2 linked regions of the Drosophila melanogaster genome follow. Changing the gene in region 1 together with any one later gene gives a genetic interaction. Each region holds a gene or a part of one and is shown on either strand. Other genes may lie near its edges.

Region 1 (3,930 bases):
TCATATGACAGACGACAAACTTTGGCAATAAATCAAACAACAGGCGACGAGCGCTGTTTGTAGGCGGTACAGCTTCAGCTGAATGCGGTTCAGCTCAGCTCAGTTCAGTTCACTTCGGTTTTAGCCTTCTGTGCGGGCATACAAAAGTGGGCGGTTGAGGAGGGGGTGGGGCGTGGCAAGAGAGGCACACGTGGAATACAGAAGCAGTGAAATGCCAAGATGCCACCGCTGTATAGACTTAATACACTTTCGGCACACACAAATTCACTTCCTTAATTGAAATTTTAATTTGAATACTTTGGCAAAGTTTTGGCCGACAGCCAGCTAGCGAGTGAGACAGCTCAGGCAGCAATAACAAACAGCCAAAAAGTCGCCGAAATCCAAATTCCCCGCCACCCATTTCAGGACCAATACCCCCCACCCAGCCCCTTACACAATTTCGCCCCGCGGATCCTTTGCGCTGGCAATCTCGCACAGGCTCAGCGAGTTTTCAATTTACGCGCCTCGCGAGTCGTTTGTCATTTTATGCGTCCTAATATATGGCATGTGCGTGCCGCTACAAGGATACCAGCAGCAGTATCCTTCGCCACCGCCTGGTATCCCCCCATGCTCAATTTTGAGGGGATACCAACCAGCAAGGCGTAACTAATCAGCACAGGCAATGATATGGCGACATCTGATGAATTGTTCGCACAGCCGAAGATTTCAATTGGGGGTGTTGGCATATACATATGTATATATATCTAAATGAATGTGCACGCAGAGAAAATTAATGTATCACTTACTATCACGATCGAAAAGCACTCCATTAAGTCCAAATCTGATGCCAAAATTAAATAAGGTCAGTTACTTTAAAATGAAAAAAAAACCCCCAACGTTATCTTTCAGCCGACGGGGAAGAGAAAAAAAAAAACCCGGCCCTTGAATTCGTATCATTAAATTACTACTTCTCATTATTGCCTGATATTCACAGTTGGCTCTCGGGAGCCATTTATAACGATTGCGATTATTCCGATAGGGAAAATGAAATATTGAAAACAGATAGGACGGCCAGTCAGTATCCGCGTGGAAATTATAGTGTGTTTCACTTTGCGCTATAGATAGATATAGATAGACTCTCCCACTTGCATGGCCAACGCCATCAAAGAGTTTTCATTGTGGCCCCGGGGATTCCCAGACGAGTGCAATTACTTTTGTTAATTGTAATACACACAACCCCAACCAACCAACCAACGCAGAGACACCCGTTTATTTGTCTAATGTGCGAGAGTGTAAAGCTTCTGGCTCGATAATGTTTACCTGGGTGAATACCCCACCACCACCTGGAGCTGGAGCTGGTGCTGGGGGGGGGGGGGTTATAAAAGAAGGCCTGTGATTTTGCGTGTGATTTTTGCCCCCCCTCGAAATTTTTTACTGGGAGAGCGTGCCAAGGCGTAGTTAGTGAGCGGCACTTAATACCCTGATAAGATGTGCGATTAGCGGGCAGCCAGTCGAATGGTAAGTTATGAGCACAATGGTCAGCGCTTCCAGCTGCCAAAAGTCGAATGCGCAATGCTCTAACCGGGGATTTTCGATCGGTGATAATTCAATTGATTTTTATCGCATATTAATTGTATACCCGATTTATTTGGGGGATTTTTGTAGGACTTAATGCATTTTCTAAACAAACATCTCGTATTAATGAGTACAGATATATACGAAACATTTTTCGCTGTGTGTTTATCTGATTTGCACACCTGGGTCGTTAAAATATATTTATTAGCATTGTATATCCACCTGCTTGGGCCCATCAAATTGACGACCCCATGCACACGAAAATAATTGTTAAACGTATTTATTTTTCATTTAACCTGCGGATTTAAGAACTTCCAAGTGGTGGACCTCTCGAAGAAAGAAGAGCAACTCAAGATTACAAGACCTAATCAACGGTCCCCTTGTTGCCAACGAACATAGAAAACTGCCTCTAAGACTTCGGACTTCATTTCAGTTAGCGTCAAAGACATTGGCAAACAACATGGGCGACAAGGTGTCTGGATCCGTCTCCACTTCTGGCCCAACTTCCTTGGCAATCCTCATGGACTCGGAGCAATTGGAGCAGCAACAGCTGGCCACAAGTTGTGGTAAGTAGCGCCGCAACTATTTTGCTGCTGAAAACAATTCAACAATTTCCAAGAGCGTTTGAGAGAAATTTCCCCTTTTTGAAGTGTAATAAATATTCCAATGCTGGGCGAAGGGGGGGGGGCGGTGTGGTCTGCGTGTTTACCTTGCCACAAGTATAAACAGCAAATAAAATAAGACAAGTAGAGGTTGGAGGAGAAAATGAGTCCGGTGATTTGGACTTCCTTTGGACGAGGCGCCAGAACGCATCTGGCGGTTATCCCCCGAAATTTTCGACTCGAAAAACCTGTGTGCACACAAAGAAAAAAAAACTAATTCAGATTAAGAGCGAGATGAAGATGAAGATGGAATGTGCTTGTTCGCCATAAATCGACGACGGAAAATAAAACGCTGTTAATTTGTCTAGCCATCCGATCTCGGCACTCCGACTAAAGCAATTTAATACCAGCCGCATTTGCAGCGGGATTCCCCCAAAAAAATCAAAGCGATCCCACCAAGGGGCATCCCCGATTCGAAAATACAACAAAAACAAAAATTAAATCACACGAATACATATTATAAAAGAGTATGTCCGGTGCCGGTGGTCAAAGAAAGCAAATGACACAGAGAACGACGGGGGCAGTGATGCTGTCACAGCAACCAGCCATAAAAAATCACGGTTTTGAGTTTTGGAATCGTAAACAACTGAAATCGTGCGAAAAGAATATCAGCTTTTATAGGAATATAATTTAAATAAGATATCATGTATCCTTACGTGTAAAACAAAGTAAACCCAAACTATTGAAACGATTCAAGTTGGTTCTTATAAAGGATTCAGACTAAAAGAATAATCTTTCCACTATGAACATAAAAAATGAGAATACATTTCAAAAATGAATTCAATTAAAAATCTGTATCTAAGTTAATATAAAGATTTCATTGAAATGGTTAATTTACATTTTTAAATAAGGAATTTCGTACGAAGAAATGTCACATCTGCGAGCTGTCAACCTTTGTTTTAACTCTAGTCTGTGACTATGTATTTAGATGGCATCAGCCGAATTTCCTGACTGCAAAAAATATTCAACAATTCAACTGTCACCTCCAGCTATGGAAATTGTTCGTTCATTTATCAAAACACAAGAAGTAAAACCGCAGATGTGAGCTCAAAAACGCAATATTACCATTTAAAAAAGAGATGGTTAAAGCAACGGATGACTCATAGATTTCATTTTGGGCGAATAACAGTGACATTAATAAATCGCCACAGGGAGATTCAAAAATAACGTAAACTTAGCCATTGGCAAATGCTAAGTTCAGTTCGCAGCTGTCTGATTATTTGCACAACCAAAGTCTTGAGAATTGGTTAAAAAAAAAAAAGTTCCCCATAGCTGATTTATGCCCTCGATAGAGGGTTCTTATCAGCAGCGACCTTCGAGAATGACCGATATTGAACTAGTTGAATGAGTGTCATTCTGATCCGTATGATCAGCGATCCGTATCACGGTAATCTAATCGTCACTTGCCAAAACAGTTGGGATTGTTAATCACTCACGCTTGTCGGAAGTTGTTATTGCGGGGCGTGAGTCGTGCCCTATAGTCTATGCAACGTTTTCAGTGATTAACCCTAATTGGTTATCTAAGTGTTGGGCCAAAGTGTAGTCATTTCGTGCACGCGAAGAAAAGTAACGATTTTGAAATAGGTTCACACATGAACAGTGGAACAGTAATCACTCAATGCAAAATAATCAAAGCTAATTTCAAACAAGTTGGTTTAAGTGAAAACGTTTGGCTGAATAAAGCAAATATTGTCTGGTGCCAATATTTTCTTTC
Region 2 (3,930 bases), on another chromosome or scaffold:
CTCAAACTCGAACTCAAAATATGCCTTAGGGTTGCTTGTTTTCTGTACCTTGTAATATAGTTCCTCGGTTTCATTTCCAATACTTAAAACGTTTGTTGTTGACGTCATTTTTGAATCTAAAAGATACTTCGTAAGTGGAATATCCTAGCATGAAACTCTTTCAGCTCACCTGCTTTAGTATTAATAATGCCCGTTTGTGTTGTTTTATTTATTTACTAATGAAATCATTTCGGGTACAAGTTTCCTCAAAGCTCTAAATTAGTGATGGGTTGATTTTGTTTATAAACAATGGGAACAACGGTGAATGGCAAACAAACCACCTCCTCTTCACCTCCTCTTAGTGTTTTCATTTAGATAACACAAATATGAGTAAATATCTGATCTTTCTTGATCCAAAGCGTTGGAAACAGTTTTGATTATGAAGTTCCTCGAATCCTTCGGATACTTAGCAACGTTTTTGGATATCCAGTGCTCCTTGCCAATCACATTCTTTAATCGTCCCAGAATACCCTTGGAGTCAAAAGTGGGTCCGCTTATCATCCAGCCATTTATCTTATCAGCCGGACCGAACTCGTAGTAGTATCCGTTCTTCTTGATTTCTTTCGCCGCAAATCTTTCGACGGATCCTTCATCACAAACATTTGTCAAAGGCTTGCCGCCATTCAGTAAAATTTTCTGTAAGTGCTTCTCAAAATCAGACACAGAATACTCATTGCGTGTTTTTGTGCTTTCGAAATCTCCAGTGCTCTCAGTGCCAATAGTCAAAACATTCGAGTTGTTATTCATAATTGTTTATATTCCTACTACCGATTGGCGTTGGTGTTGTACACTAAAGTATGATTTCGTTATGGGAGCGCTTTTTATTTGCTTACTTATGAAATAAGCACCAATAAAAGCTCACGTCAATAGAGATGGGTTCTTTTTGTTTATAACAAACTGTGAATGGTTAGTAACATATGTTAGGGTGGTTCTTAAGAGTGTACTTAAAATCTAAATATATCTACTTCATTTAATTTCTTTTAAATAACGACTACATTAATTAATATAATGTCGCTTGACTCTGTTTCTATGTCCCTAAAAATTTGACTTCAAATTTTAGATGTTAAATAGATCACAAATTTTCACATTTACCTATTTGCTATTTTATATATTTACTTTACGAACTATTAGAGATGACATGATTTTGTTTATAAACGTTGTTTGTTTAAAAATCGGTGTGAATGGCAACGATTTCATTTTGGAGTGGACCTACCATTACAATACTAATTTAATCAATTAGCTGATTATACATTTCTAAATTTATACATTTTATAAACAATTTAAATAAAAAATAATTTAGATTTTTAACTGCATTGGCTATTTAAAATATTTGACATTAATAATAAATGCATTATCTTGTTATCTGACACATATGCAATATTAATGCTTTTAACACCCCATCAAAAGTATTAAAGTATCTGTCAGAACAAGTACATAACGTTCACTTATTTCGATCCAGAACATGAAACACAACAAAGCAACGCCTCGATCTTAATGAAAGATAAAACATCTGGCATCGGTGATTTTTTGGTCGGTGGGGCTTTAGTACCGGTATTAGACGCGTGCTAGATAGTGGCTGCAGGTGGTAACAGTTTTGATGGGTTATGGGTTGTGATCGAGGGGGTTTTTTCCTGGGCTCGCACAATTTCTCCATTTGTGTGCGCTGTAACTGCGCCGTGTCATATCTGATAATACACACGATTTGCCGTTATAACGCCTTCACACCGAACAAGGCTTCATACGATTATAGCTTTTCTTGAACTTTTGCTTTTGCTTGGCGAGCACACTTGAGATAGCTGCAAAAAAAGTCCCCGTTTACTGGCCCAAAACAGCGATCTGGCAAATAAATCATTTTATAATTTTCCGCAATAGATAATTGATTTGTCAACAGTGAATGCACCTTGAAAATAATAAAAAACGACCTTCTCGGCAATACACCCCTTTCATTTGTAGCCCCATAGCTGCGGTGCTTTCCCCGCACGAGTAAACATTATTGGGCCAACTGTTTAGATGCTAGCGTGTTTATTCAGCTGGCGATCTAGATACATATGTATGCTTGACTTGGCCGGGCTTTGCTCAGCTCCAGGCTTCCCAACCGACTGAGCTGGTCACTTGAACTGGCAACTCAGCTTGGAACGATCGCAGAAAATGACAAGATCGAGAATCGGAAGCTTTCGGGATATATATATAAGTAAACATATGTAAATTAAATCGAATGCCAATGAAGTCGATTGTGCAAATTACGGGTGAGATTTTTTTGTTTGTAAACAAACAGGCTCGTGAAGCATCTAGAGGAAATCATTGCCTCCGTTTCACAGATCTCACTTGGCAACTGCGTAAATATTTATCAATTTCTAGTGCTTAAAACTTTATCATCGGTTATCGTCGGTTATTACCCCTTTAGGTTGGGGTTGGTGGGTTTTTGACTCCGCGTTTACGACTCCCAAAAATGGAAATCAGCAACTATATCAGTGGACTTATTAATGATAAGAGAAGTTAACAAAAATCCCCATCAAAGTTGGGTCTGTACTGCATAAGTTGATAACAGTCTACACAGCGAAAAGTTACAATGCGTAAGTAAATAAATTCCACTTTGATGGGTCAAGACCCGAATAACACCCATTACTATTAGGGATAAGACTATAAGCACATCATTTTAGGAGAAACTATAAAACGATAAGATACAGTAATAATGTTTGAATTTACTGGTGCTGTTAACTAAATATATATTTAAACTTTATTACTATATGCTGAAGATTTGGCTAGCTCAAGTCGATGGACGAGCCCATTGCGAGGGCACCAACAGGTGGACATTACTCATGCCGAATAAATTCGGCGACCCAATCAAAGGTCTCCCCAGATGGCGAGATGCCTTTAAGTTCGCGACTCTCATGCATACGAGGTGATTTTCGTGCCGGCCCTCGGGCGAAATAAAAAAGCCCCGGCGCTAGACTCTCCGGCGGATATAAAAGCGGTTCCCGAGCGGCATTAGCGTTCAATAGCCAAAGTGCCAGCGAGCGAGCGAGCAGTAAGCACGGCGAAAGCGATACCAGAGATCGCCAAACTCAACGCACAATAAAAGTTCAGAAAACAGAGGGAGTTCCCCTGGCGGAAGCAGACGATCCCCCAGCGCTGAATTGAATACAAAAACAACACACACAATTGGATATCTTTGACCTTAGCCATCCGGATTGCTCATCATTCGGAGTCTTCCCCCAGCGACAGAGACGGAGATAGAGATAGGAAAAAGAGTTGGAGAATGAGCTAACCGACAGACTGGACGGTGATTTTTACGAGTGATTAGCAGCGGAAAGAAACGATACCGGCGGTAATTCACACCAAAATGGGCGTTCGTGTGATAGAAACCGATTCGGCGAGCGATTCGTATGACGATGACGAGTGCTCCACTTGCCAGAAAGAGCACGAGCAGGGTAAATCCCCCAATAAGAGCAAGAAAAGTTCCACGCCGCCGGAGACAACCATCTACGCCAGCAAGGATCTGGTGGGCAACTGCAAGGAGTACCGCATTGAGAACAACACGCGCGATCTCAGGATCATCGGCAATGGCAACCGCATACGGATTGTGAACAACTCCGGGCAACTGCAAGTAATCGGCAATAGCACCAGACTCAAGATCCAGAACAATAGCGGAGCCCTCAAGTACACGGGTAACGACGGAAGGATCTACCTGGGCAGCAGCTCCACGCAGCAGGTGGTCGACTACACGGGCTGCAATGGACTGCTCAAGGTGGTCAAGTCCCTGGATCTTAGCGGCGATGCCAAGAAAAGGCCCAGCTCTCGATCGAAAAACGCCAAGCCAACGCCAACGGATGCTGGCCAAGGCAAGTCCGGCGGCATTGAGATCGACAGCAATCTAACGATACGGCACGG

Evidence for each region.
Region 2: of PGRP-LB (region 1) and pirk, changing one enhances a phenotype caused by changing the other (phenotypic enhancement), as found in Drosophila melanogaster (one study listed by BioGRID).

The regions. Positions count from the first base shown.
Region 1 is NT_033777.3:11,458,637-11,462,566, reverse strand, and holds the start of PGRP-LB (peptidoglycan recognition protein LB), read left to right. Parts: upstream 1-2,014; coding exon 2,015-2,120; intron 2,121-3,930. UniProt on the Drosophila melanogaster protein: N-acetylmuramyl-L-alanine amidase involved in innate immunity by degrading bacterial peptidoglycans (PGN). Probably plays a scavenger role by digesting biologically active PGN into biologically inactive fragments. Has no direct bacteriolytic activity.
Region 2 is NT_033778.4:21,661,370-21,665,299, reverse strand, and holds the start of pirk (poor Imd response upon knock-in), read left to right. Parts: upstream 1-2,304; 5' UTR 2,305-2,612; intron 2,613-2,795; 5' UTR 2,796-3,382; coding exon 3,383-3,930. Other genes in the region: CG42363 (uncharacterized protein), read right to left, coding at 1-108; CG42362 (uncharacterized protein), read right to left, coding at 328-786.